4 linked regions of the Elephas maximus indicus genome follow. The protein of the gene in region 3 purifies or fractionates together with the protein of the main gene of each other region. This does not show direct contact. Links are inferred from orthologs where the notes say so. Each region holds a gene or a part of one and is shown on either strand. Other genes may lie near its edges.

Region 1 (7,530 bases), on a different chromosome or scaffold from region 3:
ATAATCCTCTGTTCTGTGCGACCATTTACACAATGGCCCTGCCCTCCAGACTCTAGGTATTGGCCACACTCAAAGGATTCTGAGTGGAAGCCCCTCAGCCCTGGGCTTCAGCTCTGCTTTCCAGGCTTACTGGAATGGCAACTCCACTCTGTCGGCTTTAGTTTTCCTAGTCCATTTGAGTGGCAACTCCACCCCCTCAAACTCCAAACTCAAACTCCAAAGGCCATGGCTCCACCGTTAGAGACCCCAGAGGTCATGGCCATGCCCTTTGAGACTGAGGCAGCTCTGCTTTTAGTGTTCCTTGTTTCTTCAGCTTCTGCTTCCTTGTCCTCTTGGCCCTTTGGGCCTCACCACCCGCATATGCCCTGCTGGAGCAGGTGTTCCAGAGCTCTGAAGCTCCACCGATAAGCACCTGGAGGCAACCCACCCCACCAGTAAACTTCCACTGGAAGGCACTCAGCTCTCTTGCTCAGTGGGTCAGCAAGCCTAGCTCCACCAATAAGTGCTCAGAGGCACCTCACTCCACCAGGAAGCCTCCTGTGCAAACACACTCAGTTCTCTCGCTCTGTGGGTCAGGTCCAGCACCATGTGGTGCTGGTTTTCTGGTTCTGCTGCTGCCAGTCCTTTGCTGTCTGTGCCAACCCCAATGTAACAGCTTTCCTCATTTCCTTCTGAGTCCTCTATCCACTCAGTTTTAAAATTGCTTCCACATTTTAGGTATCTGTTAAAGCAGCACCCCACTCTTGGTATCAAATTCAGTCTTGGTCATCAAGAGCCGCTATAACAGAAATACCACAAGTAGATGGCTTTAGCAAAGAAAATTTTATTCTCAGTCTAGTAGGCTGGGAGTCCAAATTCAGGGTGTCAGCTCCAGGGAAAGGCTTTCTCTTCTCTATCAGCTCTGGTGGAAGGTCCTTGTTATAAATCTTCCCCTGGTCTAGGAGCTAGGGTGCAGTGCAGGGACACCCTTGTCACAGTTTAATATTTACATTCATTCTCAAAGACTCTACTTCCACAATGCCATACACTGGAGTGTGTTACAAACAAACTTCACTTGAATTTAGGTATAAAACAGAACATCCTTCACAATTAACTACTATGAAAGGCTTGAGGGATTACTAGACCTGAATCATCTGTTCCCTGCCAGGGGAGGTCTGAAGAATTCACATTCGGCAAAAACTAAGAAAGTAATTTAAAACAACCAGCTAAAAAGAAACACAGTTAATAAAATCACATCTAGGAGTGCGTAACAATTCTCTCAAAATTCTTTATTTTTCCATAAAAGCTATCTTTAGTAACCACTGAACTCCACAGTCAGACGAGCTCTTCACTGCTAATACTTGTACCTTGTTACATTATCTATCACACAACCTACTCTTTCTAAACTCTAAAAATAAAACACGCTCAATTTAAGTTATTAATTGTCCTCTATTCCCTAAAAACCCTTATTATTACCCAAAATGCCTGCTGCCTTTATCCAGTAAAAATGTAGAAACTGAGATGCATCCTTTAAAATCTCCACCTGTTGTAGGAAGTCACAGAAGTCCTCATCCACCCATCTACTTGAGTATGTGCAGAATCTTGCACTTACCTAGAATATCCACCCATATGCCTAGTTTTTCCAATTAGTGCCTTCAATGCTTTCCCTTACTTTCTCCTCAAAGAACCTCTATGATCTGACCTAATTACCCTTCCAATTACTCTCCTCAAATGTTTCTCTTGAGCCTTACCTGCAGTTCCCAGAATACATTATGGTGCTTCACCTCTGCTACTTTTTCACTTATTTTCTCTGCAGGAAACTCTTCCTATACTTTGTATATCTAACAAAATATTATTTATTCTCTAAAACTCAGCATAAGCATCGCCTCCTCTTTAAAGCCTTTCCAAACCACACCTTAGTCCCTCATATCAACCCAAGCACAACCATGCCGGTTTCCCTAGAGACCAAACGCTTGAGTAGTGGCAAAATCTTACTCATGCTGCATCCACAGTTCACAACACGTTGTTGTCTGGACAGTTCACAACACGTTGTTCGGTGATTAAACATCACAACTAAAACACTCCTTTACAATGACAAGGAGTAAGGTAACACCGGAATCATGACTTCCTCCATCTGCCCAGGTAAGCTCCCATCTTTGAAAGATGCCAACACTTGGAATTCCCTGTTCTGAGACCAGGGATGGAAATGCCTTCTTTCCATTTAATTCCCTGAGCCCTGGAGCGATGCAAGTGAGCTGGGCCACAGGTGACATATTGTCCTGGCTGCTAGAAGCTAGTGGCTAAAAAAACTAGGGACCGATAAACTTTTTCTAAACATGGTCAACGAAAGAGAGGAACGTTCTTTAGTCCAAAAGAGATTGAAACAGACAGACAAGAAAGGGAAGGATGGGAAAAGAGGAGAAATGAGAGGCACTGGGTCACTAGAAGAAAATAAAGGAAAAGTGGCAGAGGTGCTGCGAGGAGTTGCAGAGTCAAGAGCGGGGCGGAGGAAGGCGATGAGAAATGCGGCGGACAGAGAAGGCCGGGGGCAGCACCTGGGCATGGGAGCCAGAGGCAAGGGGAGACCAACGCAAAAGATGCGAGAGAAAGTGCAGGGAGAGAGGAACCCGAAAGCGTTGGAGTATGAGACCGTCGGCAGCTCTAGACTGGCCCGGGTCAAAACCTTCCGCTCCCACCGCGGCGCGGCCTAAGCTGCGGCCTCACGTCCAGCTCTGTCTCGGGAAGGCGCTCCCGCCCCAGCTTCCGCGCCAGGCCGCCGGCGTGGCGGCGAAGGGGGTTACTTACCCGGCCCACCCGGCCGACTTTCCCCATGGGCCGGAGCGGCGGCAGCGCGGAGCCGCAGTCCGAGACGCGCAAGCTCCGTACCGAGCCCGGAAGCGCCGCGGAAAAGGGAGATTTGGACGCACTCTGCGTAAACCTACCGACGACCGGAGCCCACAGCTGGCGCCAACCCCTACGCCAAATCCGCAGGAGGTTCCGCGGCGCGGGGGTCAGAGAACGTGTACTGCCGGAAGAGAGGGGACGCCTACGCTGCTGGCTCCTCGCAGCAGTGCCCCCTGACGGTAGGAGGTCTGCACTGCAGACTCCCCTCCGTCGGCGTCTTTTTCTTCCACCAAAAGGTGTCGCCTTGGCGCAACCTTTGAAATTTCATAACTTTTTTTTTTTTTTTTGGAGAGGGTGACAGTGACCCCGGACGGTAAGAAGTAGAAATGGTCCAAGGTTGCAAAGATCTCAATGGGAACCAAATGTCTTCTAATAAGGGAGAGGGAGAGAGAATTCCTCCTGGCTCTTCATTTTAATTCATTGAAACCCATTCATTTATATACAAAAAGCTGAAAATAAATCCCTGGGCGAGATGAATGGGGAAACTGCAGCAGAGGAAATGGTAGTAAGCGTTGAAATGATTGAACTGTAAGGTTAAGAAAACAACAGATATGGAGAATAGGGTTACAGCAATGAATGTAAATGTTATAAACCTTCACAACTTAAAAATAATGTAACTAACAAAAGTTAGGAGGGGAAGTGAAAGTGGGACTTTGTGTAAATACGATCGTTTTTACAACTGAAATTGGAGGCCAAGAATATTTCAAACTGATAGAGATACCATTCTACTCCCATTAGGATGCCAAGATTGTTTTTGAAAAAGGAAAATAACAAGCATTGGAGGGGATGTGGAGAAATTGGAACCTCATCCAATGCTAGTGGGAATGCAAAATGGGACAACCCTCGTGGAAAACAATGTGGTGGTTCCTAAAAAAATCTAGAGGTAGAGCTTTCATATAATCCAGCAATTCCACTCCTAGGTATATACCCTAGGAATCTAATAGAAGTGGCACAAGCATATACATACCTATGTTCATCACAGTGCTATTCACAATAGCAAAAAGATGGAAACAATCTAAGTCCCTGTCAACAGATGAAAGGATAAGTAAGACGTGCTACATATATACAGTTGAATACTACTCAGTGATAAAAAAAAAAAAAATTAGTTCCCACAACATCTTGGAACATGGATGAACATGGAATACATTATGTTGAGCAAAAAAAGTCAACCACAAAAAAACAGATAATTGTATGTTCTCACTTCTATGAAATGACATGAACAAATAAATATACAGAGATTAGTGTTCATTAGCGGTTACCAGGGCTGGAGGGTTGGGGAAGCGGGGAATTCACTCTTTAGATAGTAGACACTTGTTATTTTGGGTGACGGGAAAGGTAACACCAAATGAAGGTGAATTGTACACAGTTTGACAAAGGAAAATGATGTCACTAAAAAGTACAAAAGAAAAAAGGACCTGTTGGTAACCCTATGTAGTTTTGGAAACCCTGGTGGCATAGTGGTTAAGTGCTATGGCTGCTAACCAAAAGGTTGGCAGTTCAAATCCACCCTGCGCTCCTTGGAAACTCTATGGGACAGTTCTACTCTGTCCTATAGGGTCGCTATGAGTCGGAATCGACTCCATGGCAAAGGGTAACAGTAACAGGTATGGAGTTTTGAAACAACAGCAAAAGCAACCAAAAAATACATGTAGGGGTGTACATGTATGTCGACATACATGTGTATAGGTACGCATACATGTGTGCATATGTAGGTGCCATGGCTTTGTGTCCCGCCCAAAATTCTGTCAACTTGGCTATGCCATGATTCCCAGTATTGTATGATTGTCCACCATTTTGTCATTTGATGTGATTTTCCTCTGTGTTGTAAATCCTATCCGTATGATGTTAATGAGATGGGATTATCAGCAGTTATCTTAATGAGGCAAGACTCAAACTACAAGTTTGTTTTGTGTCTTAAACCAATCTCTTTTGAGATATAAAAGAGAAAATGGAGCAGAGAGACATGGGGACCTCATACTACCAAGAAACAAGAGCCAGGAGAATAGCGCGTCCTTTGGACTTGCTGTCCCTGCACTGAGAAGCTCCTCTACCAGGGAAGATTGGTGACAAGGACCTTCCTCCAGAGTCAACAGAGAGAAAAAGCCTTCCCCTGGAGCTGGTGCCCTGAATTTGGACTTCTAGCCTGCTAGGCTATGAGAGAATAAATTTCTCTTTGTTAAAGCTATCTACTTGTGATATTTCTATTATAGCAGCACTAGATAACTGAGATAATAGGTGTATGCATATGTATATCTATATCCGGCTATGTGACGATACGTACATATATTCATATATATAATAAAACACATAGGTAGCACAGTTACACATACTTCTTATTAAAAAATCCAATACCGCTGCCGTCGAGTCAATTCCGACTCAAAGCAACCCTATAAGACAGAGTAGAACCGCTTCATAGAGTTTCCAAGGAGCCTCTGGTAGATTTGAACTGCTGACCTTTTAGTTAGCAGCCATAACTCTTTACCAGTACGCCACCAGGGCTTCCTACGCCACCAGGGTTTCCAGATACTTCTTGTTGTTATTGTTGTTAGGTTCTGTCAAGTCAGTTCCGACTCATAGCGACCCTATGCACAACAGAACAAAACACTGCCTGGTGCTGCGCCATGCTCACAATCATTGTTATGCTTGAGCCCATCGTTGCAGCCACTGTGTCAATCCACCTCGTTGAGGGTCTTCCTCTTTTCTGATGACCCTGTACTCTGCCAAGCATGATGTCCTTCTCCAGGGACTGATCCCTCCTGACAACATGTCCAAAGTATGTAAGATGCAGTCTCGCCATCCTTGCTTTTAAGGAGCATTCTGGTTGTACTTCTTCTAAGACAGAATTGTTTGTTCTTTTGGCAGTCCAGTATATTCAACATTCCTTGCCAACACCACAATTCAAAGGCGTCAACTCTTCTTCGGTCTTCCTTACTCATTGTCCAGCTTTCACATGCATATGATGCCATTGAAAATACCATGGCTTCAGTCAGGCGCACCTTAGTCTTCAGGGTGACATCTTTGCTCTTCAACACTTTCAAGAGGTCCTTTGCAGCAGATTTGCCCAATGCAATGCGTCTTTTGATTTCTTGACTGCTGCTTCCATGGGTGTTGATTGTGGATCCAAGTAAAATGAAGTCCTTGACAATTTCAATCTTTTCTCCATTTATCATGATGTTGCTTATTGGTCCAGTTGTGAGGATTTTTGTTTTCTTTATGTTGAGGTGTAATCCATACTGAAGGCTGGGGTCTTTGATCTTCATTAGTAAGCGCTTCAAGTCCTCTTCACTTTCAGCAAGCAAGGTAGTGTCATCTGCATAACGCAGGTTGTTAATGAGTCTTCCTCCAATCCTGATGCCCCATTTTTCTTCATATAGTCCAGCTTCTCGTATTATTTGTTCAGCATACAGATTAAATAGGTATGGTGAAAGAATACAACCCTGACGCACACCTTTCCTGACTTCGAACCAATCAGTATCCCCTTGTCAAAGGAGACTCTGAAACTTGCTCTTGCGCGTCAAGCAGCTAAAGCAAAAGGAAGAATTGATGAAGTAAAAGAACTGAACAGAAGATTTCAAAGGTCCTCTCAAGAAGACAAAATAAAGTATTATAATGACATGTGCAAAGAGCTGGAGATGGAAAACCAAAAGGGAAGAACACGCTCAGCGTTTCTCAAGCTGAAAGAAATGAAGAAAAAAATCAAGCCTCGAGTTGCAATAGTGGAGGATTCCATGAGGAAAATATTAAACAATGCAGGAAGCATCAAAAGAAGATGGAAGGAATACACAGAGTCATTATACCAAAAAGAATTAGTTGATATTCAACCATTTCAAGAGGTGGCATATGATCAGGAACCGATGGTACTGAAGGAAGAAGTCCAAGCTGCTCTGAAGGCATTGGCGAAAAACAAGGCTCCAGGAATTGATGGAATATCAATTGAGATGTTTCAACAAACAGATGCAGTGCTGGAGGTGCTCACTGGTCTATGCCAAGAAATACGGAAGACAGCTTCCTGGCCAACTGATTGGAAGAGATCCATATTTATGCCTCTTCCCGAGAAAGGTGATCCAACTGAATGTGGAAATTATAGAACAATATCATTAATATCACACACAATCAAAATTCTGCAGAAGATCATTCAAAAACGGCTGCCACAGTATATCCACAGGGAACTGCCAGAAATTCAGGCTGGTTTCAGAAGAGGACGTGTAACCAGGGATATCATCGCTGATGTCAGATGGATCCTGGCTGAAAGCAGAAAATACCAGAAGGATGTTTACCTGTGTTTTATTGATTATGCAAAGGCAATTGACTGTGTGGATCATAACAAACTATGGATAACACTGCGAAGAATGGGAATTCCAGAAGACTTAATTGTGCTCACGAGGAACCTTTACATCGACCAAGAGGCAGTTGTTTGGACAGAACAAGGGGATACTGATTGGTTTAAAGTCAGGAGATACTCCTTAGATATAACCAGACACTTTGTAAGATTGGATATCTGGGTTTGAATGATTAGGACTGTAGTCTTGTGGGACATCTTGGTCAATTGGCATAATACAGTTCATAAAGTTATGTTCTACCTCCTGTTTTGGTGAGTAGTGCCTGGGGTCTTAAAAGCTTGTGAGCAGCCATCTAAGATACAAATAT
Region 2 (7,020 bases), on a different chromosome or scaffold from region 3:
CTTATTAGCTGGGTGGGGGACTGTAAAATGGGAATGATAATAATGACACCCATTTGACATAGTGTGTGGAATAAGGGCAATAACATTAATAAAGTACCCACTGTAAGTTTACCAAAACATGAAGAATATTTACCTTTTGTCTTATCCTACACTAGGTAACCAAACCAAAAAAACATCTCATTGCTGTCGAGTCAATTCTGACCCATAGTGACCCCACAGGACAGAGCAGACCTGCCCCATAGGGTTTCCAAGGCTGTAAATCTTTACAGAAGCAGACTGTCTTATCTTTCTCCCATGGAGTGGCTGGTGGATTCCAACCGCCAACCTTCTGGTTAGCAGCCAAGCACTTAACCACTGTGCCACAAGGGTTCCTACTAGGTAAGCAGGTCCCCTCTATTAGTCCAATGGGACTGTAACATACTTCCTTTTAAAGTGTCCTAAGAACAGATGATGTGGAACATATGCAGAATAGATGTAGAATAGTGGTGGAATTTACCTTTAACAGACGTGGAATAGACGATGTGCATGGATGATGCAGAACAAACACGGAATAGATGTGGAAAATATAAATTAAAAAAGTGTTCTGAGAAAACAAGTTAACTGACTCACGGGTTCCCCCACAACCCAGGGGGCCTGCTGCCAGTACTAATCTAAAGAAAAACGGTAAAATTTGTCTTTGGTGCTGATCTATAAGCCCTCTCTCCTGCCATTTGGCTCAGGGAGTTGAACATTAGTAACTAGCCACTGCGACTACACAATGCCAGGGAACAAAAATATCATGAGGCAGAACCACAATCAATGCTGCAACATTAAACCAAAGGCATTCTTTAGCTGCTTAAAGCTGAAACCAGCTCAAGTTGTCCCAAACTCAACTTTGTCACCATATCCACCCAAACAGCCCTTAAGGATAGCAGAAGCAAGAGATATGCTGAGTGGCTTTTATACAATATGGCCTGTGTTAGGACTTACAAATGCAGGATGTTGTTTCTGGGTAACAACCACCACAGGGAGACATCAAAGGAATAGAGACAGGGCTCTCCAAATTGCAGGTGTTGACAAAGAGTTGCTTCTCTGCACTTCTCTTGCCTTTTATTGAGCTACACCCAGTTTGGCTCACAGAGCTTGAAAAAATGATAACTTAGGTGATTAGCTGAACATAGTCATCTCTGCAGACCATAAAAATTTGCTGTGGATGGCAAAGCGTTACTAAATAAAAGGAAGGGTCAGGTAGAAAGCTTTGTGAACACTCACATCCTTCTCCTGGATGGTGCATTCCTTACAGTAATAGGCATCGGAGACTCCGGGGCCTCCACAGATCACACAGCGCCCTTGGTAAGAGCCATAATTACACTCATCACATATGCGCACCAGGGTACAGGGACGCACATAGGAGTCACAGATCACACACTTGCCATCGCCTGTGAAGAAAAGTGAATGGAGTTATGCTCACCTGCAAGTACTTCCTCTCCCAAGTGCTTTGCCCTCCTTCAGCTATGGGTGGTGTACTAGTTTCTTTTGGACAGTGAGTTTAGGGCCCTTCCTCTACTTTGCCATTACCCAGTATCCATCTCAATCCCCTTAACACTTACAAAACATTAACATACATAAAGAGCATAGCACAGCCCCTTGTAGATAAACCAAAAAGACCAAACCCACTACTGCCAAGTTGATTACCACTCGTGGTGACCTTATAGGACAGAACAGTCACAATCCCTTCCTGAAGCCCCTCTCAGGTCTGGGGCAACCTGAGATAGTGCTTCTCAGAATCCTGACTCATAGTGTTTCCAAGGAGCAGCTGGTGGATTCGAACTACCAACTTTTGGTAGATGATAGCTCTACATAACTGCAGCAAAAAGACCTGTGTATGTTAGGTTGGGGGTCATGCTACTCTGGCGATTCTTCGTATCTCAAGCTAGAGATTTCTGCAAAACCTAAATGCACTGTTTAAAATGTGCCAGTCAGAGTGGGGAGGTGGAAAGGGTCTATGGTTGCTGCCTGGGATCCCGTGTCCACATGCTTCCAGTCCCATCTACTCAAAGTCCTCTTTGTGGCACCGCTGGAAATACCCTTTCCCTGACTCCACTGAGTGGGAGGGGTGGGGGGGCTGGGAAGACGCGTTCCACTCACATTTTTCACACAGTCTTCCGATGGCTGCAAGAGCAAAGAAGATATAGAGCACCATTAGAATTAGGGTTCTGACGAAGAGGGCTGGAGTGGGGACAATGACAGGGACTACAGTGAACTCTAACGGACAGTCATCTTATCCTCGTAGACCTCCATCCGAACCAAACCTACAGTCACGATCCCTTCTTGGGATCAGGGGCAACCTGCGACAGCCGTTCTCGGAACCCTGTCCCAGGGACCCCACCCTTGCTGCCCACCTCTGGCTCACAGCCCGCGCGCCCCGCTCTTTCCCTCCCGCGCGCTCCTACACTACCCCGCGACCGTGAGGTGGGAAACGTGGCGGCTCCGAGACAAAGCCCTAGAGAAGTGATGAGAACTCCCAACCTCCCAGCGCCTAACACCACCACCACCCAGACAGCCGGGGGCAGGCCGCCGCCTCACCAACTCCAGCCTGCTTGCGGCAAAAAATCAAGTCCGGGTGGTGTTTAGCCATAGCTCCCACTCAAACTTGCCACCGGAAGCTTCCGGAACTTCCGCCCGACCTTTGACCCGCATTGTTCCTGCCTCCTGGTCGTTATGACTGGTCCTGGAGACTTCCATCAGGCACTAAGCCGCGCTCCCCCTCGCGAGATCAAAGCCACTACGTTCCAAGAAGAGCTTCTGTGGTTGCTGCGGAAGTAAGTCCTGGCAGGAGCGCGAAAGTCCTAAAATGAATACCTTTCCCAGATTTTGATGGAAGATATAGCCGAAATTTGTTTTTCGATAAAACATCTTTGTACAGGCATTTAATTACCGTAACTGTTTTTACGAGCGTTTTCTCTTCTCACGTGCCCGTTCCTAACACTGCGGCTCTGCCGTCTACGTTCGCTGGGCTCGGGCGCCTTTAGGGAGGCCCCGCCCCACCGCGCTGTGTTCTCGTCAGGCCACGCCCCCTGCCTAAGTCTTTAAAGTTGTCGTCTGGCACGTCACTTTCACGCGACCTCATCTTTGTCAGTGCACAAAATGGCGCCTTACAGCCTACTAGTGACCCGGCTGCAGGTGAGCGAGCTCAGGGCCCTCAGGGTTCACGGGGGCGGGGTGCCTCCTGCTGTGCTTGCGGCCGTGGGCGAGGCGGGCCCGACCTCGGGCAGACTTTTCGTGTAGTGTCCCGGCCGTGGGCCCAGTGTCTGTGCCCGCCTCTCTGACGCCCGAGGTCAAGGCGTCCCAGGCTCTGTTAGCTGCCGCAGCCCTTTCCCCGCCCCCGGTAAAGTATAAGCACAAGCAGCGGCGGCCGAATGGAGAGTGCAGGCTCCTCTTTCTCCTTCCTGAGGACCGCACTGCCAGTTCTCGTAGGGTTTCTTTCCGTTCCTCAAGGTGAGGACAAGGTGACTGGGGGGGGGGGTGCGGTCGTTGTAGAGCCCGTTAGGCCCAGTGCCTGAAGGGCTCACTTCCTATCTCAGTCTCAGAGACTTCCTAGCCAGTTCGCCCAGTACACTATTCCGTCCTTTGAGGACCCTGCGGAACTCACAGCCAAGAGTGCGCGGGGGATCTTTCTTGCCCGACGTAGTAAATAATAGTGACAATAGCAGTATCTCACGTTTGCCCGTGATTTCAAGACTTAATTCCTCATCATATCATTTGAGTCATGTCTAGCGAGATGATTATTCTCATTTTGATAGGTGGCGAAAGTGCTAGGAAGTAGGCAAAAGTTTCAAGAGTGTCACTGTCACTGTAGTGCTGTGTCCTGACATCTGCCCTCCTACCCCTCTGGTCTAATTCCACGTCAGCCAGCCCTCACAGACTGAGAAAAGGCGTGATGCTGGACTTAACATTTGTATTTTGAAGAATAATAGAATGGAGTATTTTGTGCTCACAATTAGTTCCTTTTACAGTAACATATGGGAGGGTAATGAGGCTCAACAGTTTGACCTTGACTCTCCCTTTGTGAACCGTCTAGAAAGTTGACTGTAACTGTGACTGCCAAATGTTTTTTTACCCCTACCTAACTTGACAATCCTTAAAAAAAAAAAAAAAGCCCAGTTACCTCAAGTCGATTCTGACTCATAGCGACCCTGTAGGACAGAGTAGAACTGTCCCATAGGGTTTCCAAGGAGCTGTTGGTGGATTCCAGCTACGGACCTTTTGGTTAGTAGCCAAATGCTTAACCGCTGTGCCACTAGGGCCCCTGACAATCTTTAGGAAGGTGTTATACTCAAAGGTTCAATGTCAGGGGAGTATTTTGTTAATAAAAATAAAGGAAGAAAGCACTCGTAGACATTCTCTGCAACCTTTTATGTTTAACTTTGTGAATACTTTTGAATCAAGTGGCGCAACTTTGATTATAGAATTGGAAAGTTGTGTGCTGTACTTTCAGGAAGCGTTGCGGTACTAGAAGTTATTTTTCATCACATTGGTTAAGTTTAGACTGTGGTTTAAGTATTATAAAATACTTCTCACAGTTTGGGCAAAAGCAAGGGATATGCACTTCATTATCTCTTAAGGTCTTTTGATTCTCTAGGTTGATGATGTGAAAATAGTTGTACAACTCCTGTTTTACCATGATGTATTGCAGTCAGGCAAGATTACTTGATAAGATAAATGATTACAAATTTATTGAGCATGGAAAAGAGTTTTTAAAAATGGCATGAGGATGGCGTCTGACCTCCAGCCCCACAAGGGGGAAGGAGAACCAAGATCAACAGTGCAAGGCTAGAGGTGGAGGCCAGACAAGCCTGCTCTATCATCTTTAACAATTCGGACACCAGTCATCCTTCGCACAGCGCTCTCTACTTCTTTCCTGGGTTCTATAATTCATTGCAGTGGCCACACAGAACTCACAGACCATACTCAGGACTAAGGAGTTTATCAGGAGTTGGAATCAACTCCCTGGCAGCTGGTTAGGGAAGTAACAGTTACAATTCAGGCTCCAGAACACTCAGGATACAGTTTTTCCCATAGGACAGCTTCTCCCCAGCTGTGGTTGCAGGCTCACCTCTTCTTGACCCTCGGCCTCTCCCCAAAGGCACTCAGCTTTCTCTCTCAGTGGCCCACATGCTGTCTCCTGCTGCCACATCTCTGCTGCCACTGCTTCTCACCATCTTCAGGGTTACAGCTCGCTCTCCTGCTTCCAGGAGCTTCTCAGTGCAGGGATCCCGGCCAAAGGACCTGCTCTCCACTCCTGGCTGTCCTTCCTTGAAGGTGTTAAGATCCTCCTCCCTGCTCTGGAGTTGGGTCTCTTTTAAGGCAAAACTGACCAGTCCTCTTGGTGGGCCACAATTACCCTATCACACAGTCCTACCCAGTCACCTGGGTAGGAGTTATAAGACCATGGCTAGAAAGGCAACACCCAAAAGTAATTAATTGCACTGCAGAGGTATATTAACAATGTTTTAGAACTGAAAGCAATCTTGGAAAACATGAATGTTAACCTTGTGTAGAAAGTTCATGTTCTACCCTGGCCCTGTGACCTTGAACAAGTTACTTCCTGAATCCCAGTTTTATCATCTGTCATTTGAGGATGACCTTCACTGAAGAAACATTTACTGAGTACCTGATAATCTTCTTTTCAGATTGTCTATAAAGTGATGAGCAAGTAGAATGTATTTGTTTACGATCGTCATAGAATCCAAGACCTTGAGAAACCTGAGTGACTTCCAGTAATAGTCCAGTTACTCTATGGCAGAACCAGGATTAAAATCCAGGTCGCCTTGTCCATTCAGCTAAAATGAATGAGCAGAATTTGCATCTGTGTTATTCCACTTTGCATTGTACCACCCTGCCTCCTGTAGCCAGGCTGTCTTAAGTAATAGCTAGCTAACATCATTCTCTGAGAACCTTGTGAATTTACCTCTTTTGTGTTGAGCTACACTTGAGAGGTGATGCTTTCTACCTAAGTTACCATGTCTTGGCAGAACCCTGTCCATGCATTCAATTCATTCCTTCTTCATTCACCACACATTTATTGAGCTCCCACTGCTTGCTGCAGATTCAGTGGTGAGCCAAGCAGACAATGCCTGTTCTCATGGAGCTTCCACTATATTCTAATATACCCTACAGCAGAGGGTCTCGGAGATGTTTCTCAGCCAAAATATTATTTTTCTGCCCTTGGCTAGACCAAAGGTGAATGTAGATAATAGAATGATGACTAACTACTACCACTCAGAGTAGCTAACATTTAGCTTACTGTTTGCCATTAATCTCACATGACCTTGCGAGATAAGGCAGACCTGTTAGCTTTGTTTTACAGATGAAGAAATTGCGGATTAGAGAGGAAGCATAGTGTAATGATAGTGAAGAGCATGGACTGGCATCAGGCTGCCTGGATTAGAACCCTGGCTGTAATGTTCACTAGCTATGACCTTGGCATATTCCTTTACCTCTTTGTGACTGTTTCCTTGCCTGTAAGATATGGATAATAATAGTACATCTATCTTATTTAATTCTCAATGATCATATTATGGCATCCCTGGGTGGTGTAGACGGTAAATGTACTTGGTTGCTAACTGAAAGGTTGGAGGTTGAAATTTACTGAGAGGCTCCTTGGAAGAAGGGCCTGACAATCTACTCCTGAAAAATCGGCCCTTGAAGGCCCTATGGAGCACACTCTGACAGATACAGGGTCACCATGAGTCAAAATTGACTCAACAGCAACTGTTTTTTTTTAATCATATTGTTGTTACAGATTAATTAGAATCCTGCATGGTTCCTAGCAAGTGGTATATGCTTGTTATCTTGCCTAGGGCCTTATCACTAGTTGCTAGCAGATGTGATTCGAATCTGCACCTTTCTGGTTCCAAAGCTCAAGATCCTAGCAAATGTACTATACTCCTTCCCTTTGACATTAAGACAGCCTGTTGACCAGGGCACCATTCATGCTCATAACCTGAGAATGGTGCTCTCTGGGTTGAAGGTTTACTG
Region 3 (7,881 bases):
TATTTCAGTAAAAACACAGCATGCTATTTGTTGGTCATGTAATTTAAAAAGTTACTGGAAACCACAATACCAGTATGAGTGAAAACAGACTCTGCACACTGTCCAAAAAAAAAAAAAAAACCAAACCAAACCTATTGCCGTCGAGTTGATTCCGACTTATAGCGACCCTATAGGACAGAGTAGAACTGCCCCACAGAGTTTCCAAGGAGCACCTGGTGGATTCGAACCGCCAACCTTTCGGTTAGCAGCTGTAGCACTTAACCACTACACCACCAGGGTTTCCACCACACACTTTTAGTCCCTACATATTTTCATTTTATTTAAAAAACTTTAAATCGTTACACAAAAACGAGCAAACCATTATTGCAGGCACTGAGAAATGCCTGGAGGAGAAGTTTTGGGGCAGTTCAATTTTTTTAAGATAGTACTGGGTAAACACACTTTAGTTGTGAACTAATATGTGTATATATTTAAAGCACTTACCCTCTTTTTTAATTTTGTCATTCATATTGTTGATATAAATTGTATGATTTGGTCTGATATCCATGTTTTAGATTAAATTGTTCAAACAGCCTAAAGAGAAAGTACATATTGTGTTATAAACTGGGAGAATGAAATCACAGCCCAGTGTGGCATAAGGATACAACACAAGGCTTATTAACCTCTCAATTCTCTTTCAATCCTGACTCCAAGAAAATGTCAGTTTGGCAGCAGTCTTTAACACCTGTCCAACACTTGCTAGTTCTCCTTTTTAAACAAAAGAAGAGTTCTCAGGCTCAAAACCTTGGTCAAATACTAGCACTTAGTCAGAATTTAATAGCATTATTTTGTTCAATGCACTTACTTTTATATTTACCTTTTACTTATAGTAAGTGATACTGTTTTTCCATTTACCTAGTGAAACAGCTTTTTATTAATGAAATTACTGAAAAATTGAGTAGATCTTAAGAAAAATGAAAAAGATACTAGCAAAGGTACGTCCACTAAAAATCATGAAGATAGAACATTAGTGAAGTTTGCCAAGCACTGCTTCATGAGAACACTTAAAAAGCACTGGGACACCTATTCACTGATACACACCACCGCCACACGTCCTGACCCCACGGTCGTCCCCAGCCAGTGTGAAGGAATGCAGCTCAGACAGAGCGGTACAGGACCGCAAGGTGAAAAGGCACTCAGATGCTGGCACTGGCCAGACCTAAATCCAAACAGTGGCCATGCTCTTCACGAGCTGCTGACTGACGGGGGAGTCAAGTTCCTTAATTTCTCAAGCCTCAGGGTCCACATCTATAAAATGGGGATGAAGGTCGCCAGGAGTCAAAGCCAACTCCACAGCAACAACTGTAACAGCACCTACCCAAGAGAACTCCGCAGGCTAAACGCGAGAACGTCCAACAGCAGTAAGCCCCTGAACCAGCGACTCTTCATCGCTATCGCAGGTGACGGTCCCTGGGTGGTTCAGATAGCTAACAGCTTGGCGGCTAGCCAAAAGATCGGAGTCCACTCAGAAGCACCTTGGAAGAAAGGCCTGGAGACTGACTTCCGGAAAATTTGTCGCTGAAAACCCAAGGGAGCGCAGTTCTACCCTGACACACATAGGGTTGTCTTGAGTCAGAATCTACTGGAGGGCAACTGGTTTCTTACAGGTCAAGGTCTTTGCCTAAGGACACGTGGCAGCAGGCCTGGGAATTCAGCCCTGTATCTTCTCTTGCACTTCTCGGACACCACCACACTGTTTCACGGTGTGTGTAGCTTTTTAGTGGCCAATCGTGAACTTGCTTTATCTCCTTGGGTAATCTCACATACTGCCTCTTTCACAAACATCTATGGAGCACCCACTGTATGTGAACAGCACAGATCACTGACAAAGGACGGGGCTGCTGACAGGGACAGAACTTGTGCGGGTAAACGGTAATGCTACTCAAACTTGCTTTACCTGCGATCTGGAGAAGGGATGGGGTCGCAAAGAAGAGGGAAGTGACAGAAACAGAGGTCTAACTGACGGCGGGGAGATCAAATGGGGGGCTCTTGCAACATCTCCTGCGTGGTGTGATGGACGCCTGAACCAGCACAGAGGTTCCCAGAATCACCTCCCCAATCCAAAAGGGAACCGCTAAAAGTCACTTGAAAGCTCACAGGGAATTGTAAACACCTCACAGGAGCAAAGGAGCACTGTTTCTGTGTGCCTTGGAGTTGATTCCGACTCACAGCGACCATACAGGACAGCGCTGGACTGCCCCATAGGGTTTCCTACGCTGTCATCTTTACCTGGAGGTGCCCTAGCGGCGCAGCGGTTAAGCGCTCGGCTGCCAACCGAAAGGTCGGGGGTTAGTACCCACCAGCCATTCCAAGGGATAAAGATGGCGGCAGTCGGCTTCCTAAACCTTTACAGCCTTGGAAAGCCTAGGAGGCAATTCTACCCTGTCCTATAGTGTCATTACGAGGCAGAATCGGCTCCGCGCCACACGACAACAGCCTTTATGGGAGCACGATCTCCAGGTCTTTTTTTCCCATGAAGCTGCTAGTGGGTTCCCGCAGCCGAACCGTTAACCATCGCGCCGGCAGGGCTCCACAAGGGGCGGGGAGGGGAGGCTGGGACTTAGCATCGGTTACTTGTTTGTTAAGCAGGAGTCTGGCGTCCCTCCAGACTGCACTCCCGACACAGGCACGCACCCCCAAGGCCCCGGCCCGAAGCCCACAGGCGCGGAATCCGCGCTCCCATCCGGTCCCGCTAGGGACAGCGCCCCTAAGATCCGAGGCCCGCCGGGCCAGCGCGTCACTCAGCCCACCGCTGACCAACCCCGGGCCCGATGTGCCCGGCGCACCACCGCGCCTCGTCCTCTCCGGGCTCCGACAGCGGAGAGGCGGACAAACGGCCCATAAAAACCAAAACAGCCAGAGAGTAAGCGCTCCGACCTACCGCAGGCCTCCTCCGCTTTGAACCGGAAGTCGGAAACACAGCCAGGCACCGGAAGCAACGCTACCACGCGCCGCAATAGGGCGCCGGCTAGTCGAGAAGTCGAGCACAGAGTCGATCGATGCCTCGCGGCGACTGCTGGGAATCTCTCTGCGCCTGCGCCTACGTGGTGGGCGGGGAGAAGGGGCGGGAAAGGGGAGTAAGGAAAGGGACGGGTTTTGTCGGGATCGTGCAAAGTTAAACCCGACCACTGAGTAAGGGGACAACGGCAGGGTCGTCACTCATTACCCCCACGATGACCTTGAGTTAAAACCTCAGTCCGGTGCCTTCCAGCTCCCGAAGTCCTGTATAATTTTCCAGGCATAGCCTCTCATGCCGCTTATGGGGCAGGTGCTATGGTCTCCCATTTCTGGGTCTGGTGGCCCCGGGTTTAACATACCAAATAAATAAATAAATAAAGTCGCTTTTGATTCCTAGGACTCTGAGGAAACTCTCCTCCAGCAATCTACTGATGAGCTTGAATGTCAGAGGCAGCCCAGGTTAAGTGAATTGATGTCTCTCTGGTCATCTCCCCAGTTATGATAACCACTGTCATGGATTGAATTATATCTCCCCAAAAATGTGTGTATCAGTTGGGCTGGGCCATGATTCCTGGTATTGTGTGATTTTCCTATATGTTATAAATCCTGCCTCTGTGATGTTAATAAGGGAGGATGGGTGGCAGTTGTTTTAGGGATTAGATTGTGTCTTGAGGCAATCTCTTGAGATAGAAAAGGGAAGCAAGCAGAGAATTGGGGACGTACCCCCCAAGAAAGCAGCACCAGGAGCAGACCTTGTCCTTTGGACCCAGGGTCCCTGCACCTGAGAAGCTCCTCGACTATGGGAAGATTGAGGACAAGGACCTTCCTCCAGAGAAACAGAGAGAGAAAGTCATCCCTGGAGCTGACACCCTGAATTTGGACTTTTAGTCTACTTTACTGTAAGGAAATAAATTTCTCTTCGTTAAAGCCATCCAGTTGTGGTATTTCTGTTATAGCAGCACTAGATGACTAAGACAACCACATTTGAGTTATAACCAAAACTCATGAGATATCTGCTAAACTCATTCAAAAAAAATTTATTACTACCCTTTCCACCTTCTCCCTGCCCCACGAAAATACCTAGATTTTTTTTTTTTGAGTAATTCAGGTAGGTAGTGTTTATGCTAAGCCGAATAGGAATTCACAAACAAAAATATATTTGTTTATGCATCCATTCAACAAATGTGTGTTAAGTATCAACTACTGAAATATGAGATGGTTATTATGAGCTAAGATTGGGAAATCTATTCCCCCATCCTCCCCTTACCTAAGCTCCTGGAACCTCACTTTCCTTATTTGTAAAAGGGTTCACAATAGTAACTCTTCTGGAATTACCGTGAGGGTTAAATGAGCTAAATATAAAACCATTAGCACATTTCCAGGTACAAAATAAATGGTTCACAAATGTTATTTCTTAAATGCTGGCTATGACTTGGACACAGGGATGAAGGAGGACAGCTGGTTCTATCAGCTGGGGATTTTTATTTCAAAAAGGGCACCTAAAGTCTGTTAGAACAAAATTTGTATTAAGTCAATAATAGAAACTGATTGAAGTTTATTTAATATACAATTCACAAATTGCAGTAACATTTGAACTAGGGAGTCAAAAATGTTCCTGAGAGGAGAGAACCTCCAAGATTCTTATACCCCATCTTATCGACATTGCCATGGAAAATGGGCTATAACAAAACCGATTAAAAAAGAAAAATTATGGTCAGGAAGGAATTAATACAGCATTGTCTTGAATAATTGAAGTAATTACTGATATACCCTAAAACATAACTCTAGGGTGACCTTCAGAGTTTCTGTTTCTTGAAACTGACTGCATATGAATAATTCCTCAAAAGAGCACAATGTCCAAGGCAAAACAATCTTTACTAAGCTGTTTACTAGACTTGTTTGGCTTAAAGGTGACTTTAAGAAACCAGTTTCCTCAAGGTTCAAAAGAACGTCTCGGGGCAATGGCCTGGCTAGGTCACCCTACCTCCGTGGAGCCCAGAAATCTGGATTCCAGGAGGATTAAAACTTCGTTTCTCAAGTTGAAACAACGTGGAAATCATTAGACAGTTATGAAATAATCTCCACTAGACTGTAACCTTCCCAAGGGTGAAGATTTTTGTCTGTTTTGTTCACTCATGTACTTCAGTAACTAAAAAATCTGAAATTTGATGGAAAATTAGACAAACACTAAAACAAATGCAGTCTTATGACGATGCACATAAGTGTAGGAAGTAATGTTAAACAATCACATAAAAACATTTTTTATTATGTAGATATTCAAATTAGAAGAAATGTAAATAGTTCTAGCTCAGTTAAAGACTTATGGTGTATCCCTAACAAATTAAAAGAGAATATAAAATAAACATGAAAAAAAATTTTAAATAACAAAGAACAAGTTGCCCTGTACATTAGTATGGGCATCTGAGCAATTAATTATTAATAATTCTACCTGATGATAATGAAGATGGTTATCTTAGCCTGTGTACTCTAGAGAAGCAAAACCAGTAAAGCATATATATAGACAGGGTCAGAAATTTATATCAAGGAAATGGCTTGTGGTTGTAGAGGCTGTAACGTCCTAAGTCCAAGTCCCTGGGTCAGGAAAGAGGTTTCTCTTGATTCACATAGCTGCAGGAGCTGGTAAACCCAAGATCAGCAGCCAGGGAGCAGAGTTGTTACTCACAGGCTGTACAGATCCATGAATCCCAAGATCGGTAGGCAAGTCTGCAGGTAAACTGCTAGCTCAAGTCCCACGAACTGGAGGTCAGATGAACAGAAGCTAGCTGCAGGATCCAGAACGAGCAAAAGCCCCTGAGTCCTGCCCGAATGTCCACCCACACTCAATACAGGCCACACACCCAGGGAAACTCCCCTTCAACTGATTGGCTACTCACAGCATTTCCCATCATGGGGGTGATGATGTATCAGTTATCAACAGGGAAGTGATCTCAACATTATATGACTGCCAAAACACTGAGAATCGTGCCACATCCAAGTTGACACACAATCTTAACCATCACAGTCCACCCCTGTCAACTCGGCACCTGTACACATCTCCTTAAACCGTATGTAATCTCTGAATAAAGACAATTATAAGGTCATACTTGGGCCTAACATGATACAGAAGACACATATACAACCAAAAATGTGATAGCCCTGTTTACATCTTATATTTTATAAGTGAAGAAAACAAAAATATTTGATGCACACTTACAAAGCAGAAATACTCATAACAATTACAGTCCTTGTTTCTGCAACTGGTCATGTGGCCTTAACTGATATTTAGAACTACATTCTTCCTTCATCCATCCAGTATTCCCTTTGCCCTCTGCAAGCACCTCAGCTGGGTCGTGATTCTTTGCCTGGTGGGGTGACTCAAACCTTCATACCTGAAGGGTCGGGGCCATTAGTAGTCATGTTGGAATTGGGTTACTGTACTTTTCCGTTGACTTTAATCACAGGGCATGGTAGTACTAAGAGACGACCTAAAGGGTCTTCTGCATTCCAGACATACTCTTCTTTACCTCCGTTCTGTAATATTAATCTGACTTCTTCTTGTAATCAGGATCAATAACCCCTTCTTTGCCTGTTGATCCAGAGGCATAAGGAACCCAAAGTGACCAAGTGGTATTTTTAGTTTCCAGTTCAATGGATTCAATGATGTGTCTTCAGGTGGGAGCATTCCTCCCTAGGGAACTAAGACCCCTAGACCTCTAGACCTGCAGAGGATAGGGTTGCAGGGACAGGAAGCAAAAATCTCGTGAATGAGTCATTAGGAGTAATAGCCAGTGGTGCCACTCCCATTTCTACCCCTTGGTTCCTGGGCCCATGAATCCTGGCTATGTGAAATACAGCAACATATATCAGATGCTGGTTTAGGGCATATACAGCCTCCTGGAGAACGATGACCCAACCCTGCAAGGTATTGCCACCCAGCTGGCACCGTATTGTGTCTTTAGGCCATTCCATTGTTCTATCAAGCCAGCCACTTCAGAATGATGGGGAACATGGTAAGACCAGTGAATTCCATGAGCATGGGCCCATTGCCACCCTTCATTTGCTGTGAAGTGAGTTCCTTGATCCAAAGCAATGCTGTGTGGGATACCAAGACAGTGGATAAGGCATTCTGTAAGTCCACAGATGGTAGTTTTGACAGAAGCATCACATGCACGGAAGACAAATTGATACCCAGAGTAAGTGTCTATTCCAGTAAGAACAAAATGCTGTCCTTTCCATGATGGAAGTGGTCCAATGTAATCAACTAGCCACCAGGTTGCTGGCTGATCACCTCAAGGGATGGTGCCATATCAAGGACACAGTGTTGGTCTCTGCTGCTGGCAGATTGGGCACTCAGCATTGGCTGTAGCCAAGTCGGCCTTGGTGAGTGGAAGTCCATGTTGCCAGGCCCACGCATAACCTCCATCCCTGCCACCATGGCCACTTTGTTTATGACCACATTGAGCAATGACAGGAGTAGCTGGGGAAAGAAAATGAGTGGTTTCCATGGAATGTGTCGTTCTATCCACTTGATTGTTAAAATCCTCCTCTGCTAAGGTCACCCTTTGGTAAGCATTCACATGAGACACAAATATTTTTACTTCCTTAGCCCATTCAGAGAGGTCTATGCGTATACCTCTTCCCTATATGTCATGGATTGAATTATGTTCCCCCCGAAACATGTATCAATTTGGCTGGGCCATGATTCCCAGTATTTTCTGCTTGTCCTCCATTTTGTGATTATAATTTTATGTTAAAGAAGATTAGGGTGGTATTGTAACACCCTTGCTCAGGGCACATCCCTGGTGTAATGTAAAGGGAGTTTCCCTGGGGTGTTGCATGCACCACCTTTTATCTTACAAGACATAAAAGAAAAAGGAAGCAAGC
Region 4 (7,668 bases), on a different chromosome or scaffold from region 3:
ATATCAGTAAGACTCACACTCTGATTTGACGAATAGGTCCATATTTTCCAAATATATCATACATTTCTTCAGCTGTGATTTTGTATGGCAAATTTCTTATATACAAAATCCGATTTACTTCAGGCGGAAGTCGAATCTAAAATGAGAAATATATGTTGTCGTTATAATCAGGCAGGAGTGCTACCATTTAGAAAAAATTCTAATACATAATAGTGAAAAGCCAAGAGTAAGAATTATTATCTGATGTAAATGACATGCTCTTCAGAAAAGCAACTGGATGATGGTTCCAGAGAAGACCATTAGTAGGAACTAATACGGGCCTGCGATAAAACAAGACTTTTGATCACTATAGTTAAATACGGACTTTCAACCACATCTAAAAGTCCTTAACACCTCCGACTACATGTGGGAAAGAAAGAAAGGAGCTGTTCCTGTTTGCTAGACAATAAAATCCCCACTGATGTGTGTTCTATGGTCTTCTCAGGGGCTTGTATCACTGATGTCTTCTCTTATGAATTTACAACCTTTCCCTCACCACTAGCTTCTTCTTGTCCTCCCAATAAGCAGTTGCTCACATCCTGCCCATCTTTTCACAAAACAAACAATTTATCTAGATCCCTCTTCCTTCAACCAACAATATTTACTAAGCACCTTCTTATACACCAGGTTAGGTATTGGGAATACATAGTGAAAATATATACAAGGGGCTCCCTGCGGGCTTTTAACCGCATTGCTCAATCCTCATCATACTTAGCCTGAGACTTCTAACACCGTTGATTAGTTCCTTCTTGCAACAATCCATTTTCTTGGTTTTCTCCTAACACTCTAGCTAGGTCTTCTCAGCCTTCTTTACCATTAAAATATGCTCTTGCACAGGGCTGTATCTTTAGAGTTCTTTTCTTGATCCTTTGTATACGCCCCTTAACTCTTTACATTCTCTCTGACTGGCCTCTTAACCACACCCGTGGTTTCCACAGTAAGTTGATGACCCTGGAATACGTAACTCCAGTCTAGATCTCACTCTTATGCTCCTGATTAACATAAATTAGATACTGAACATTAATTTACTCAATAGCTATTCAGTTATTTTTATATTAAAAGACAGTTATAAATAGTAATGACAACTGGTGAACAAGTACAATAAAGTTTTAGAGACCATAATTCAAGGTTAAGTTCAAATAGACAATCAATGCTGCCAGACAACCGAAATATATTTCTCTGGTAAATTTGCTTTCTTAGTTTGTAAGACACTATATCAAAAATATCTTCTGTCTTCAACCTTATTATCACCACTCCAACACCTTTGTTGGGCTGTATCCTTTTCCCTGCCCGTCCAAGGAGATGACCCTGGCTCTTACTTCTTGGACAAAATGGATATGACCAAGTGGTAAGTACCTTATAGTCCTATCACTAAACCTACCAATCTACATTCATCCATATCCACCTATGTTCCCTCTCTCTATACTTGGAAGAAAGGCCTGGCCACCTACTTCCAAAGGATCAAAGCCAGTGAAAACGCTACAGGGGGCAGTTCTACTCTGAAATGCATAGGGTCACCCTGAATCAAAATCAACACGAAGGCAATTAGTTTGGTTTTTTGGGTTGTTACTATGCCAACCCTTCATCTACTCAAAAGCAGATGAGTACATCTACACGACTCCTGAAATCAACACATCTTTTTGTACATTATCGGCTTCTTCCACTTTACCAGATCATTCCCATTGGAATGATCACACAATACACTTTATATTGCTCAACTTTTTTTTTTTAATCACTAAACTCAATTTCCTACTCCTTGTTTACATGAAAACTCATGAAAAGAGATTTCCTCAACTTCCATCATCTTTTCATCCCACTACAACCAAGTTTTCATCCACCATTACACTGAAACAACTCATCAGTGTCACCAAAATTTTCCATCTCACCATAGCCATATCCAGAGCCCTGGTGGAGCAGTAGTTAAAGAACTTGGCTGCTATCCAAAAGGTCAGCATTTCAAATCCACCAGGCACCCTTTGGAATCCTATTGGGTTGCTATGAATTGGGATTGACTCGATGGCAACGGGCTTGGTTTTCGGTTAATAGCCCTATCCAGGGTTCAATTACCTGTCATCATATTATGCGTCTCAGCACCACTATCTCCTTCTTGAGACATTTTTCTTTAAGTTTCCATAACATCTCACTCTCTAATGCTAGAATGTAAGCACCTATAGGACAAGGATTTTTTGTTTTATTCACTGCTGAATAAAAGTGATTACCTAGATTAGTAGCTGGCACGTAGGAGGTGCAATAAATGTAACTAAGGAATTGTTCCCTCCCTGGCACACAGCAAGTGCTCAATAAATACTGTTGAATCAATAAGTTAATGAAGGACCCAAAAAACCCTATGATCTGAAGAGAATCTTAAGTTTTAGTCGCCTGTGGACCATTATTTATTGGGGACTCGTCTATGCTATCAATTTTTAGGCTGAGGAGGAGATTCTGATGCCAGGCCCTAAATACAGGTCAAGCAACAAATTCTGTAGGGCTAGCACTGTCACTAACACTAAGATACTTTAGGAACTTTCAAAAGGGGTGTGGGCGGAATTGTGGCTCAATGAGCATACCCCTGAGGACCGGGACAGCGTGGAATCCCCACGGATAGGACAGGAAAATTTGGGTTTCCCCGCCCAGGGGACACAGGAGTAAGCATGCTCTGTGCACGCCTCTAAGAAAGTCAAACAGCGAAGTCCGCCCCTCCTCCGCAGAAGGCCCCGCTACTCACGTTCGCCCTCTTGGCCGCTTGCATCGCCATCTTGGCAGGCTGATGAAGTCACCGTAGTTAAGACTGGAATCCTCCGGACACCTCTGGAGCTCGCTCTACTTCGAGCGCAACAGTGTCAAACGCAGGCCATCAACAACCAGCCTCCACCGGAAGCTGCTGAAACAACGCTAGAAAATCGCCGTTTCACGTCGAGACGTGCTGACGTACTACCGGTCCTCTTCCGAGAAGACTCCGGGAGCAAAGCGAGCCTGAGATAAATGTGAGGCCGGAAGGTGAAAGAAGACAGTCGAAGATGCTTCCGGGTCCTGGGCCGGAAAGGGCGGGGCCTCAGCTCAAGAAGGGAAGGTGTTCCGGTCGGGGGGGGGACCTAAGCAGTGCGAGCTGACCGGAGGTGGCGGGGCACGGGGATGGCGGTGAGGGGTGATGCGGAGACTGGTTGGGTCGAGGAAAGGGGACCGAGTTTGGCGAGAAGCTCCGGGCTGCGGGACGTGGGTAGCCAGGTGCAGGAGAACTCGTGGATGAGCCTGGGCTTCTGGCAGTGCGCGAGACGGAGTTCACAGGTTCTGGCGGGTAGTGTCGAGGCTGACTGTGTAACCTAGTTCCGGACCTCCAGCCCTCCGTAGTGCCTTCCCCAAGTTGAGCCTCGGCGGGACTGGCCTCTCAGAGCTTTAGTGAGGGTAACGAGCGCCCAGGGGCAGTCTCTGAATTGCCCCTGCCCCCCGCCCCTGCCCCGCCAATTCCAGCCCCCAGGGGCAATCTCTGAATTGCGCCCCCCCCCCCCCAATTTCAAGATGAACAGATAGCGACGATGCGTCAGCGGAAACGCTTTTCCCGGTCCTTTGTCCGGCTGTCTCAGGCTCCTTCATGTTTGTAGCGCCCAGGGGTGCCTTGTCTGATGCCCTCTTGGACTTGCGTCTGGGGGCAAGTGCCCTCTCTGCGTCTCCCCCCCCCCCCACCACACCTCTGTGGCCTCTTCCTGTAATCCCCCTGTCAGTCATCCCAGCTCCCACCTCACCCGGCCAGTCAGCGCTAGTTTGCGAGCTGGGGTCGCCAGTGAGCACACCACACTTCAACTCCACCCTCTTTGTTTCTTAACGCCAGCTTAACATGGGTCAGTTGAAAAGGTCGAGAAGGGGCAGTGTTTTAGGGTGGGTCTGGGAATAGCACCCGAACTCTTGCCTGTGAATTTTCTCCAAGTTTACTCTGAGAAGGCCTAGGGTGGAGTGTCCTGTACCCTGTGCCTTCACTGGGGCAGCTTCATGACGATTTTGCCCATGTTCTTGTCAGTCTCCGTGTACACATGGGCCTCTTGGATTTCCATCAACAGGTAGACTCTATCCAGAAGTGGCAATAGACGTTGGGGGTCCTTCGTGGAGAAGTGAGGCAGAGCTCGTTCCGTGGAAGCCTTCACCAGCATTTGCTTATACTAAGATATGGAAAAGGAATCCGTCAGCCTGGACTGAGACCTTACCCTGCCGCTTCCCATACTTTTTGATCTCTCTGAAACGGGTACACACCTGAAAAAGCACACAGGGGTACCCTCTTCACTTCCTAGCGTGTGTGCGCCGGCCCCCAAATGCGTAACCTCTGTTCTGTACCAGATAAGGACTGAAGCTCCGAGTGAAATACTACTGTCAATAATGGCCATTGACCCGAAACCCCGGTGGCATAGCCGTTAAGTGCTACGGCTGCTAACCATAAGGGTCAGCAGTCCTTGGAAACTCTATAGGGCAGTTATACTCTTTCCTATAGGATCATTATGAGTCGGAATCGACTTGATGGCACCGGGTTTGGTTTTGGTTTTGGGGTCAATAATGGCCAGAGGGCTGTTTCTAAATAAAAGCTTCAAGCGAGAGGCAGCCACAGATAGGACTTATATAGGCTCTGTGCAAAAGGGATGTTTGAGCTCCTTTCCTCCAACGGTTGTGGAACCCATATTGGGAAACTTTCCCGAAGTTGGTGCCTGCTAGAATGCCACACAGACTTCTGTAACATGTATTACTTTCTTAGTACACTGAGGAGAGTGCCTTTGGAAACAAAATCTTGGAACTATTAGAAGTACTTCCTAATATGCTAAATACTTTGTTCATTTTGTTAGAAAGTTTATGTATGAAGCATTAGCCACCCTTTTTCCCAGATGTTGAGGTTTCTGTTGACCAACCCTAATTGGTTCTCTGAAATCAGGGTACATATATACCCAGGGGGGCAGGTTTCTACATAAACTCCCTAACCTAAGATGTGACAAAGCTTCCTTTCTCACACTTTTATGTAAATGAAACCATGTGTTTTCTTTCACACATCACGTACCTATTTGTCTATATTTTAGCAGACTGGTGATTAGGCTTCCTCCTTTAAAAAGTAGCTTGGATAACAGAGGCCCATTGATGTTAGCTACTCGCATCAGACCATGGAGAACCATCAACAGCCAGGCAGTTGACATTCTTCTCCCAGTGAGATCCGCCTACACAGTCTAGAATAAGGTTGGCTCCAGCACGTTTCACATGAAACAGATTTGTAATGCCAGTCAGACCCAGAAAACTTGGTGTAAAATAAGACTCCATGGTATATTTATGGGTTCTTAGGTGCCATGGAGTTGGTTCCAACTCACAGCCACCCTAAATTTGTGGATCCAACCCACCACTGCCTTTGAGTTGATTCCGATTCATAGCGACCATATAGGACGGAGTAGAACTGCCCCATAGAGTTTCCAAGGAGCGCCTGGTGGATTTGAAAGTTTGTGGATATATGGGTATAAATTAAGTACAGGTGCAAGTGGTAAATTTATAGGTTGGAACTAGCAACATTGCTCATGGAAACATTGTTATAAATGTAGTTTAAGTAGCTGAACTCTATTATGGCATGTGTGAATAGTTCATCTTTTATGATCCCCTAGTCATAAGAGAGCAGCAAGAAGGAAACGAGCTGAAACCATGACTTGGTGTCTCCTGTTACCACCACTTAAGTACAGTGTGCACTGGCACCCAGGTATAAGTGAGAACAGAACAGGGGAGGTCTACCCAGGCTACAGGGCAGGTTAGTTGTTCATATCTAAGTTACAAAGTATCTGCACTGGATTTTCTACTCATATGAAAAACTGAAAGGGATGAGCCAAAAACATACATGTTTGGCTTTGTAATGCAGACGCATGCACAACCCTATTACCCCAACCCTACTAGCTCCAGATCCAAACAGTGCCTCAAGCCTGGTATTAACTCACTATGGAGTGGCTGGTTGGGAAGAAGAGGTTTTGGAAAATTCCAAGTCAACTCTTGATAATTATCCAGCTTCTAAAACGTGTATGAATTATATCATTTGCAGGAATGCATATGGAAATGATCTCAGTCCTAAATACCAACTGCCTGTCCCCAGTGGTCAAACCCCAGAGTACTAGAGTTTGACCAGGCCAGCTGTTGTGCATTTAGCAGAGTCCTGGCAACCTTGAAGCTGGTGAGGATTTATTTAATCATCTCTGACATTCCTGCTGAGCTGCAGAAGCAGTTGTTTACCTTTGGTGAATTTCAGTGTTGCTTCACAAAAGTCCTCTTCTTTGTAATCGAATCCAGCAGCTGCTCCAAGCTTTTCTGCCATTCGAAGCTTGTGCTGTGAGCCAGCCATGACCAGAAGAATAGCTCCAGCCATCTGGGTGAGTTGGATGGCAGCTGTGCCCACACCACTTGACCCCACATGGATTAGCACAAACTGTCTGGCCTGAACATTTCCTATGACAGTAAGTACAGGAATAATTCTCTTTATTTTGCAACTGCTACACATTCACACATTCCCCACACAGGCACACTCTACCATGATGACCTGGCCCCAGGACCACCAAATGCCGAATCTCTTAAACCCTCTTAACTTCCTTTTTGTCTATATAGGCAGTTCTTTTTTGTTGTATTGCCTCTATTCAAAGTGGAAAACAACCTTTTAAAACAGTTATTAGATGCTATATCCATAATCTCTGTTTTACCTATGAAATAACGCCAAAATGCACATCTCTGCTGTATACGTCAACAAGAGTGAATAACCACCATTCATTCTTCCTGTGACCTCCTCTAGCTGCTTTCACGCACCCATTTATCTCCTTACCACCACAAGGAGCACAGCCAGCCACCAGGCTCCTCCTAATATGGGGCTTTCGTTATGTCACTTCCTGCTCAGAATGTAAGGTGGTTCACCACTGGCTTCTTCATCAAGTCCAGACAGCCTGGCATTCAAAGCCACCACAGTCTGGCACCAGACTCATCTCTCACAAGTGACAGTAGTCAGCCCTCACCCCTGAGCAGAGCAGCCCATCTCACCTTGACGCTCTGTCTTGGGTCACCCCTGATGTTCGGCATACCTTCTATCCATCACAACTCTACCCCTCAAGTCCTGCTGTTTTGGGAAGCCTTCTCTGACTATCCTTGCCTACGTCGACTTTCCCATCTTGAGCTTCTGTTGTTGTTGGAAACAGCACCACACTTGGTAACTCTATGGTTGTCTAATTGTTTCCTGTGAAATTCCCGTGTCTATATCTTGTCTTCCTAGTTACATTGAGCTCCCTAAAGGCAGGAGCGAAGTCTCTTTAGGCTCCCTCATGTGAACTCGTGGCTGGCCTCAGCAGGCTTGGGGAGGAATAAATGAGTTGACAGAATGGCACCTTCTTCTGTACTTGGGCTCTCAGAGAAGCTCAGCTGATTTTTAGAACCTGGAACTACTGCTGGGCCTGCGTTGTGAAGGTGTGCACATGGCTTCTGTCAAGTGCTTTACAGGTGTTCTATCTGCTAACCATGATTTTCAGCTTCAACATCAAGCCGTTGCTAACATGGTTTGAGAACCTGACAGTACTGGTGGTACAATAGGGTGAGGTGCTGGTTCTTGGTGTGGGTAGGTGCCCAGGCCAAAGCTGCCCTGGAGGACTGTTG

Evidence for each region.
Region 1: the proteins of SNRPB2 (region 3) and RBM17 purify together in Homo sapiens (affinity purification with mass spectrometry; 3 studies listed by BioGRID and IntAct, with this or other methods). This does not show direct contact. The link is inferred for Elephas maximus indicus from reciprocal best matches to the Homo sapiens genes SNRPB2 and RBM17.
Region 2: the proteins of SNRPB2 (region 3) and PHF5A purify together in Homo sapiens (affinity purification with mass spectrometry; 4 studies listed by BioGRID and IntAct, with this or other methods). This does not show direct contact. The link is inferred for Elephas maximus indicus from reciprocal best matches to the Homo sapiens genes SNRPB2 and PHF5A.
Region 4: the proteins of SNRPB2 (region 3) and SF3B6 purify together in Homo sapiens (affinity purification with mass spectrometry; 4 studies listed by BioGRID and IntAct, with this or other methods). This does not show direct contact. The link is inferred for Elephas maximus indicus from reciprocal best matches to the Homo sapiens genes SNRPB2 and SF3B6.

What each region holds. Positions count from the first base shown.
Region 1 is NC_064822.1:52,636,063-52,643,592, forward strand, and holds the start of RBM17 (splicing factor 45), read right to left. Parts: upstream 3,010-7,530; 5' UTR 2,922-3,009; exon of another isoform or gene 2,785-2,921; intron 1-2,784. UniProt on the Homo sapiens protein: Splice factor that binds to the single-stranded 3'AG at the exon/intron border and promotes its utilization in the second catalytic step. Involved in the regulation of alternative splicing and the utilization of cryptic splice sites.
Region 2 is NC_064822.1:185,615,940-185,622,959, forward strand, and holds the start of PHF5A (PHD finger-like domain-containing protein 5A), read right to left. Parts: upstream 3,001-7,020; 5' UTR 2,918-3,000; exon of another isoform or gene 2,809-2,917; 5' UTR 2,725-2,808; coding exon 2,667-2,724; intron 2,661-2,666; exon of another isoform or gene 2,618-2,660; coding exon of another isoform or gene 2,566-2,617; intron 2,209-2,565; coding exon 2,128-2,208; intron 1,419-2,127; coding exon 1,252-1,418; intron 1-1,251.
Region 3 is NC_064843.1:57,035,811-57,043,691, reverse strand, and holds the start of SNRPB2 (U2 small nuclear ribonucleoprotein B''), read right to left. Parts: upstream 3,001-7,881; 5' UTR 2,921-3,000; intron 1,474-2,920; exon of another isoform or gene 1,358-1,473; intron 574-1,357; 5' UTR 548-573; coding exon 484-547; intron 1-483. UniProt on the Homo sapiens protein: Involved in pre-mRNA splicing as component of the spliceosome. Associated with sn-RNP U2, where it contributes to the binding of stem loop IV of U2 snRNA.
Region 4 is NC_064830.1:41,616,460-41,624,127, forward strand, and holds the start of SF3B6 (splicing factor 3B subunit 6), read right to left. Parts: upstream 3,003-7,668; 5' UTR 2,795-3,002; coding exon 2,765-2,794; intron 137-2,764; coding exon 18-136; intron 1-17.